Linked DNA regions of Alligator mississippiensis. The protein of the gene in region 2 purifies or fractionates together with the protein of the main gene of each other region. This does not show direct contact. Links are inferred from orthologs where the notes say so. Each region holds a gene or a part of one and is shown on either strand. Other genes may lie near its edges.

Evidence for each region. Proteins that work in one complex are often made in the same cells at the same time.
Region 1: the proteins of PARK7 (region 2) and SNCA purify together in Homo sapiens (affinity purification with western blotting; 3 studies listed by BioGRID and IntAct, with this or other methods). This does not show direct contact. The link is inferred for Alligator mississippiensis from reciprocal best matches to the Homo sapiens genes PARK7 and SNCA.

What each region holds. Positions count from the first base shown.
Region 1 is NC_081825.1:152,570,673-152,574,420, reverse strand, and holds the start of SNCA (alpha-synuclein), read left to right. Parts: upstream 1-862; 5' UTR 863-1,042; intron 1,043-3,034; 5' UTR 3,035-3,059; coding exon 3,060-3,180; intron 3,181-3,748. UniProt on the Homo sapiens protein: Neuronal protein that plays several roles in synaptic activity such as regulation of synaptic vesicle trafficking and subsequent neurotransmitter release.
Region 2 is NC_081836.1:20,171,335-20,175,082, forward strand, and holds the start of PARK7 (Parkinson disease protein 7), read left to right. Parts: upstream 1-1,088; 5' UTR 1,089-1,093; coding exon 1,094-1,183; intron 1,184-1,760; coding exon 1,761-1,862; intron 1,863-2,032; exon of another isoform or gene 2,033-2,357; intron 2,358-2,524; coding exon 2,525-2,584; intron 2,585-3,690; coding exon 3,691-3,748. UniProt on the Homo sapiens protein: Multifunctional protein with controversial molecular function which plays an important role in cell protection against oxidative stress and cell death acting as oxidative stress sensor and redox-sensitive chaperone and protease.

The sequences.
Region 1 (3,748 bases), on a different chromosome or scaffold from region 2:
AAGGTGTGCTGACTGAAAGGAAACGTCTCCCTGGCCATGGCTTCCTTCTCCTGGGCATCCAATGTTCTTTTTGTTGGTGGATGGAAGGTGGGGGCAGAATGGGCTGATGGCTGGCACTTGCTGAAGCTCCTGGAAACACCCAAGGGAGACAGCGTTGTTGGTTGTAGCCGTGTTGGTCTAAGGACATAGGCAGGCAAGGCTCCTCAGGTAGATGTGGTATATTTTATTAGACGTGATGCCTTTTATTAGACCAACTAAATAACTAAATATGTGATATCTGAAGCTCCTGGAAACACTCAAGGGAGACAGGGCTGTTGGTTGTAGCTGTGTTGGCTTAAGAATATAGGCAGGTAAGGCTCTTTGGGTAGATGTGCTATGTTTTATGAGATGTGATACCTTTTATTAGATGGACTAGATAACTAAAGATTTAGTGGGTCTAATAAAAGATATCACATCTATCCAAAGAGCCTTGCCTGCCAAGAGAGATGGGTTCTTTGGGTAAATCTGATGTCTTCTATTAGACCAACTCGAATAGTTGGAAAAATTCCTCTTCGCAAGCCTTTGGGTACAAATACTAATAAATAAATAAATAAATGTAAATAAGGGAGACTCATCTTTTTTCTTGCCCTCCCCAGTCAGTCTCCATGTGCTCTGCTCTTGGCAATGAATCCCCTGGCCAAGGGACCCCCAGAGGAGGCGGTGCCCAAGCCTCAGAGGCAGGAGTGCCTCATCCCGGGGGCGATGGGGGGAGAAGTGCCCAGGCACATGGGAGGGGAGGCCTGCCTCCATCTTCCCCCTGCGACGAATCAGACGGATTGGGCGGGGAAGGCGATGGGGAGGGGGCAGGAGGCGGAGGGGCAGCGTCGCTGCCTGCCCGCTCTCTCCGCCTCCCGCCCGCACCCGCACCCGCTGCCTGCCGGGCTGGGACCGGGCGGGGGCAGCTCCCCGCGACTCTCCCGCCGGCTCCGGCTCCGCCATGTGCTGAGGCAGGGGCCGCTCCTCGGGTCCCCCGCGCCGCCGCTGCAGCTCCCCGGGCCCCGCGGTGAGTGCCTGCAGCTGCTCGTTCTCGTGACGGTGCTTCTCGCAGTGGGGATTTGGGTCCTGTCCTGGCTGCGCCTGGCGGGAGCGGGGCACGGCCCCGGGGCTGCGTGTGCGGAGAGGCGGCTCCGCCCGGCTGCTGCCCCGACCCCCCCGGGCTGCCTCCGCCTCGCGGGTCGCTTCATCCCGGGGAGGATGAGAGAGAGAGTGTGTGTGTACCTGATCCCAGGCTACATGTGCGCTGGGCGGGATGAGCCTGAGCCTGGCTTCAGCTGCTGCTGCTTCGTGCCCTGGAAATGCCACAGCTTTCTGTAGGGAGGCACTGGGCAAACTTTCCTTCTGTCTCTCTCTTTTTTAAATAAAATTTTGGTCTAGCCCCGTCCCCTCCGGCAGGTCAGCACACTGCCGAACTGCCCAGCCGGGGGAGGGATGGGAGGCTGCGTCCATTGTGGTGAGTGAATGCTCTGTTAACAGGTGCCCCAGCCTGCCTTCCTCTCCTGTGTGTGTGTGTGTGTGAGCTGTGTGTGTGTTGTGGGGGGTTGATTCCGCAAGGCTCAGTGTGTGTATGTGCATGTGTGAATGTATGTTTGCGTGTTTGGGGGGTGCAGTGTGATTTCCCAGGGCTCAGAGTGTGTATGTGTGTGCATGCATGTGTGCATGTGTCTGTGTGATTCTCCAGGGCACAGCATCATTCAGGAGAGGGCAGCTCCTGGAGAAGGTCCTGGGACATTTCCCTCACTAGTGTCAAGCCTGGTTGGAAGCTGCCTCCCCACAATGGATCCCAGAGAGCCTCGCTAGTAGTAGCTAGACAGATCTTACATCTCAGTGATTGAAACGGCTTCATTGCCTCTCCTAGGAAGACTGGCAGCTGTTAGAAAAGGTTTTAATGAGACACCAATAGCACTTCTAATTTTTAAAACCCTTGGTAGGGGTGGCTGCAGCCCAGATGTTTCCTTAGACACCCATTCCTCCTTCTCAGCATCACAAGGGAAAGGGAGAGGAGAGGCACCCCTAAGCTTTTGCTCTACATATGGGTGGAGAAAGAAGTGATCACCAATCTAGTTAATTTGTTAAAGGGACACTGTCATTTTTTAAGTGACTTATATGTAGCTCCTGACCTTACCTTGGCTCCTGTTTCCCACCTGCCAGTTTGGGAGTTTTACAGTGACGTCTTTCTACTTTTACTCCATGTTTTGTTCCCCCTGCTGCTGTATGAAGGACCACTTAAAATCACAGGGGAAACTAATTCTATAGGAGAAAGAAGCAAACAGAAAGAAATGCTGTCAAATCCGAAAAAGCAGACCTTCCCTCTCCCCTCCCCCTCCAAATCCTTTCAAGTATAATAGGGGTTTCTTATAACAATAGTAATTAAACACTTTTGCACAGAAGTCTGCTTTTTTTGACAGTGTTTCTTTAAGGGAGTCTGTGGCTCTGAGTGAGGAGATAGAAAATATCATCTCATCTTAGAGCTGAATCCTTCCTTCTTACAGGAAAAAACCCCGTCTCATTTCCTTTAAAGGAAATTTTATTTCAGAAAAGAGAAGATCTGGAAAAGATCTGTTAAATCAGCTAATCCACCCCCCATTCTTCACCCTCACCAGAACTGAATCAGTTCCTATAGCACATTGCAGCCTCTTCATTTTTAAGGCTCCTTTGCAATTAGCTAGGTCTGTTCTACTTGGGTTGTGAGAGTACTGCAGAAACAAGATGTATGTCTGTAATGCTGGTTAACTTGTTATGTATGACAGCGTTTGAGAAAATAGAAAATATCAAGGCCATTGAGAGGAGTGCATGTATTTTTGGACCACTTTTCTTCTGTATGAAATACTGAACATGGGTGTGTGAAGAAAGTCAAATGTATACAGATGATATTTGTGATGTTCAGAAAAATCTAATCTTTCAATAAAAACGGTTCTAGTCACAGCTGGAACAAAAGTCTTCCTGTCAGAAAAAAGAGCACTTGATTCAAAATGTTTGTCTTGTTCTCTTTCTCCAGTACTGTCTAAAGAAATTGTTTAACCATGGATGTATTCATGAAAGGGCTTTCCAAGGCTAAGGAGGGAGTCGTGGCAGCAGCAGAAAAAACCAAACAGGGTGTGGCAGAAGCAGCAGGAAAGACGAAAGAGGGCGTTCTCTATATGGGTAGGTGGGCAAGATAAAACCAACTGCTATTACTGTGTTGGCTTTTGTGTGTGGTATGAATGACTGATTGAAAGACCAGGAGCCAGACTGTTGGGAATGACCTTGGTATAAATGTGGAGTAACTCAATAACAGAGTTGCTGCACTGTAAATGAGATTTGACTTGAGCCCTGAATTTTGAAGGTAAACCTCTGTAAAGCTGGATAATGACTCTTGCTAGATCTTTTGGTGTTTCATCGCACCATCAGAGTCATCCTTTATTATGGCACAGTACCATAAGCATATAGGCTATAAGCTGGCCTGTAAGCATACAGTAGGTGGTCTGTGCACATATGGCCATGTATAATAGGAGATACGTCAAAAATTGTGCATGCTGTTCAAACTGCCTGCCAATTTCAGGGCAAAGGGGCTGGTTATAAAGAGTGGCAGGCAGTTTTACAATTGAAATGCTATCGAACATGAGGATTTCAAGAATATGCTTTTTCTTTTTTCCCCCCATCTAAAATGAAAAGGAATGGAAGATGACATCAGGGCTAGAAGAGAAGCTATTGAGTTGTTTTTCATTATTTT
Region 2 (3,748 bases):
AGGTTGTGCAAGTTATGAAATGAGTCCATGTGCATTGGTCATCATTGTTGCCACCTTGTGATTTTGTGTGTGTGTGTGTGTGTGTGTGTGTGATTATCAGAAACTTGATAATCACACACACACAAAATGTTACTAAATACTTTTACTACATGCATGTGAGGTGTAAGGTAGGTGCAAGACCAACTGCTCTCCAGAATCTAGCCATCCACTTAGGAGCCTGTTTTTTGTGAAAAATCTTACCCCCAGTTTGTTCTGTTCAGTCACTTTAGGGAAGATATGCACCTTCCCCTCCCCCATTAGATTGGGGAAATACCAGAAAATCTATTAATCAAACATTTGGTGACACTATTGGTCATGACAACTCACAGGAAACTCCTGCAGACTACTGTCAGGAAATGAAGCTTCAAATATGAGCTGAACACCCAATTAAACCCACTTAACAGTGTAACTAACCTCGGGTGGGAGTCATCATCAGTCTCTCTCTGTGGGTGAGCAGTCTGATAACCAACCTAATGTCTATTTTAAACACTAATGCTGGTAAATGGCTGTCATGTAAAATTGTGTTTAGTCCAAGATTCTCTTCCCAGCTCTGCACTGGTGTCCTGCCATGCAAGCTATTTAACTCCTTGGTGTCTCAACTTTCCTTTATAAAATCAGATTATAGTTGCCTAATTAAACACTGTTCTGAATCTTCACTAAATCTTCTAAACTGTGCTGATATGGGGCTTATCTGAAAAATGAGACAGAGATGCCATACTTTATTACCCTGTGATGCACTTTGGTTGTGCTGTCTCATTCGAATAAACTGTAAGGATGATCTGACCCAAGTACTCTGTTAGGAAGTTCCCTCATTTTGTTTCCAGCACAGCAGTCCAGAGCCTCCCTTTACACTTCCTGTGGTACAGCATGGGCAGAGGAACTGGTGCATGTTGTATGGTGATGTCTGAGTTTAGGATAAATCTATCTGGGCAGTTCAATTTCTAATGGTCTCTCCTTTGTCTTGCCTAAGCAGAGTATTGGTCCTTGTATGCTGGAGGCTTCAGTGCAGCACTGGGACATTGTGGAAAGTAGAGCATCTTAGTGCCAACAAAACATGTCTGCAAAAAGAGCCTTAGTAATTCTGGCTAAAGGAGCAGAGGAGATGGAAACTGTTATCCCCACTGATCTTATGAGAAGGGCTGGAGTGAGTATGCCAACCACTACAATCCCTTGAGGTCCCTCTGAAATCAAAGCTGTTCTTTTGAATCAGTCTTCAAGCAGCCCGTGCACTGTTCCTTATTTTCTTTACCTGTGAGGTACCATGCATGTCTAGGGTATTTTGACCAGTATCAGAGAGTGAAAAAGAAGGAACTGAGTAATGCGCTATATACAGTTAGGGCAAACATCCAGAAGATCATGAGCAAAGCCTGCCAGTGGATGATGAATCCTTTAACAGATTTACTTAGTCTGATTCTTCTGGAATGTAAAAGGCTCTGGGTTGAAATGGTCCCTGACTAGGGTTGTTCAAATGATGAGTTATTGAATATATCTGTTAGACCTTCCAGACTACGAAACTCAATATCACCACAGATGTTTCTCCCTGACTGTTGCTTTTATAGGAGGGAGACTTTTGGAGTGAGTTTGTCTTCACAGCTCCACTTTCACTTGGTTTAAATGACCTCTTAACTAAAAGATACTTGTGAATACTATGTAACTGACCCCTGCAACTTTCCAAAGCAGGCAATTTTCCTGAGTCCTAATGCTGTCTGTACTTCTGATAGATCAAGGTCACAGTTGCAGGCCTAACAGGAAAAGAGCCAGTGCAGTGCAGCCGAGATGTCTTTGTTTGTCCTGACACCAGTTTGGAAGACGCCAGAAAAGAGGTTTGTCCTGTTGATTTGGCATGTTGCTTAACACTGGCCTTTTGTGGTTCACAACAGACTTAGAATTATATTTATTTTCCTTCATTAATGTTCTGTTAACTCACTCCTTGCAGCAGCAGCATCACATGCTCAAAGATACATTCTGCAATTTTCATAGAAATCTGTCTGGCTAGCATTTTTTTTCTTTATTCAAGAAAATACTAAAGTTTTGCACAACTTGTCACACTCCATCCAGACACTTTAAATATTTTACAAAATCAACTCAGACTTTATTTTAAGGTGTTACCCAGACACTGAAAAAATAGGGTGACTTGTATAAACAGAGAGCCCTTGCTTAGGAAGGAAGCGCAGTAACAGGGCTGTGTCGGGAGCTTTTGCAGCACAGCTCTTGTGATCACACTGAAGCACTGACATTCACACTCTAGGGTACTGAGCTCACCCACACTCAGACTTCTTGTTGGCAGAGGTTGCTTTGGAACAAGTGTCTCTAACACTCTGGTGGGAAAGGAGACAATAAGGCACTCCATTAAGTAAATATTTTGGAAGTTCCCCAGAAATTAGGATTTATCTGTTACTTATTACAGTATATTCTCACCACTATGAAGGTAGGTCTTCTCCATGAACAATCTTGATAACACACTAACAGAATGGTGTTTCTTTAGGGGCCTTATGATGTGGTGGTCCTACCAGGAGGTAATCTAGGAGCTCAGAACTTGTCAGAGGTAAAAGACTTCTCTTCAGCAATACCAAGGCCTACCCATCTGATGGAATGCTCTTAATTCTTTCAGTGATGCTTCTTTTTAGCTTCTACTTCTGCAAATTTAGTTAAATATTTTAGAGCAGTGGTGCCCAACATTTTTGGCAGGTGGGCTGGATCCAGCTGGTGGTCCCGATCCGGCTCCTGGGGCAGGAGTAGCAGACCCCATCTGACTAGGCAGAAGGGTCGGGGGCAGGCCAGCAGTAACCTGGCCCTGCAAGGAAAAGGAGCCAGACCTAGTCCCATGGGGGTAGGGGGAGGAATGGGGCATGGCTCAGCCCCAATCTGGCCCTGCAGGGGAAGTGAGCACAGCTCAGCTCCAACCTGGCACTGTGGAGGAGGAAAGGAGGCATGGCTGGGCCCCAAACAGGCCCTGCAGGGGGGAAAGGCGGTGTGGCTCAGCCCCTAATTCAGAAGTGGGAGGGAGGGGGTGTGGACCAGTCCAAGGGTGGGGGGCACCTTTTGGGTTTGGGAATTTGGTAGGAGGGAGGGTGGCTACATTGATGACCACTTGTCCTCTGCCAATTTTCTGGACCTTTGTAAGCTAATCAACTGTTAAGCAGCCTGGCCCTAATTACTCTGAAAATAAGGAGGTGCTTTCGATTCTTAAGGTGTGGAGATGCAATAATTGGTAAACAAAGATTTAATGCAACAAAGTGTAAAGTAGATTGAAGCCATAAGCACTTGAATTAAACCAGATGTCCATTCAATTTGCTATGCTTTCTCTGACAGTGCCTAATACTAGATTCGTTGGGGGTAAAGTCTAAGAAACTTGTCTCCTGTTTGGCTTTTTTAATCTTACCGTGGCCTCAATAGGTTTAGATATTGGTTTCAGCCATCAAATAGGAGGTAAATAAATATCCCTTCTAATTGTTACCTCTTGTTGCTTTTGAAGGTTCTACATTTACAATTTCTTTTAAAATCTGTTTGTTCTATGTTATAAAACAGAAGGACTGAAGTTCCTGTTTTAGTTCTCATTTCTTGATTTATATTTTTACAGTAGAAAATGTATCTTGACTTGTCATGTTAAAATAAATCATTATGTAAAGTGATACGGTTTCTTTTATGCAGTCCTCTGCTGTTAAAGACATCCTGAAGGACCAGGAGATGAGGAAAGGCTTGATTGCTG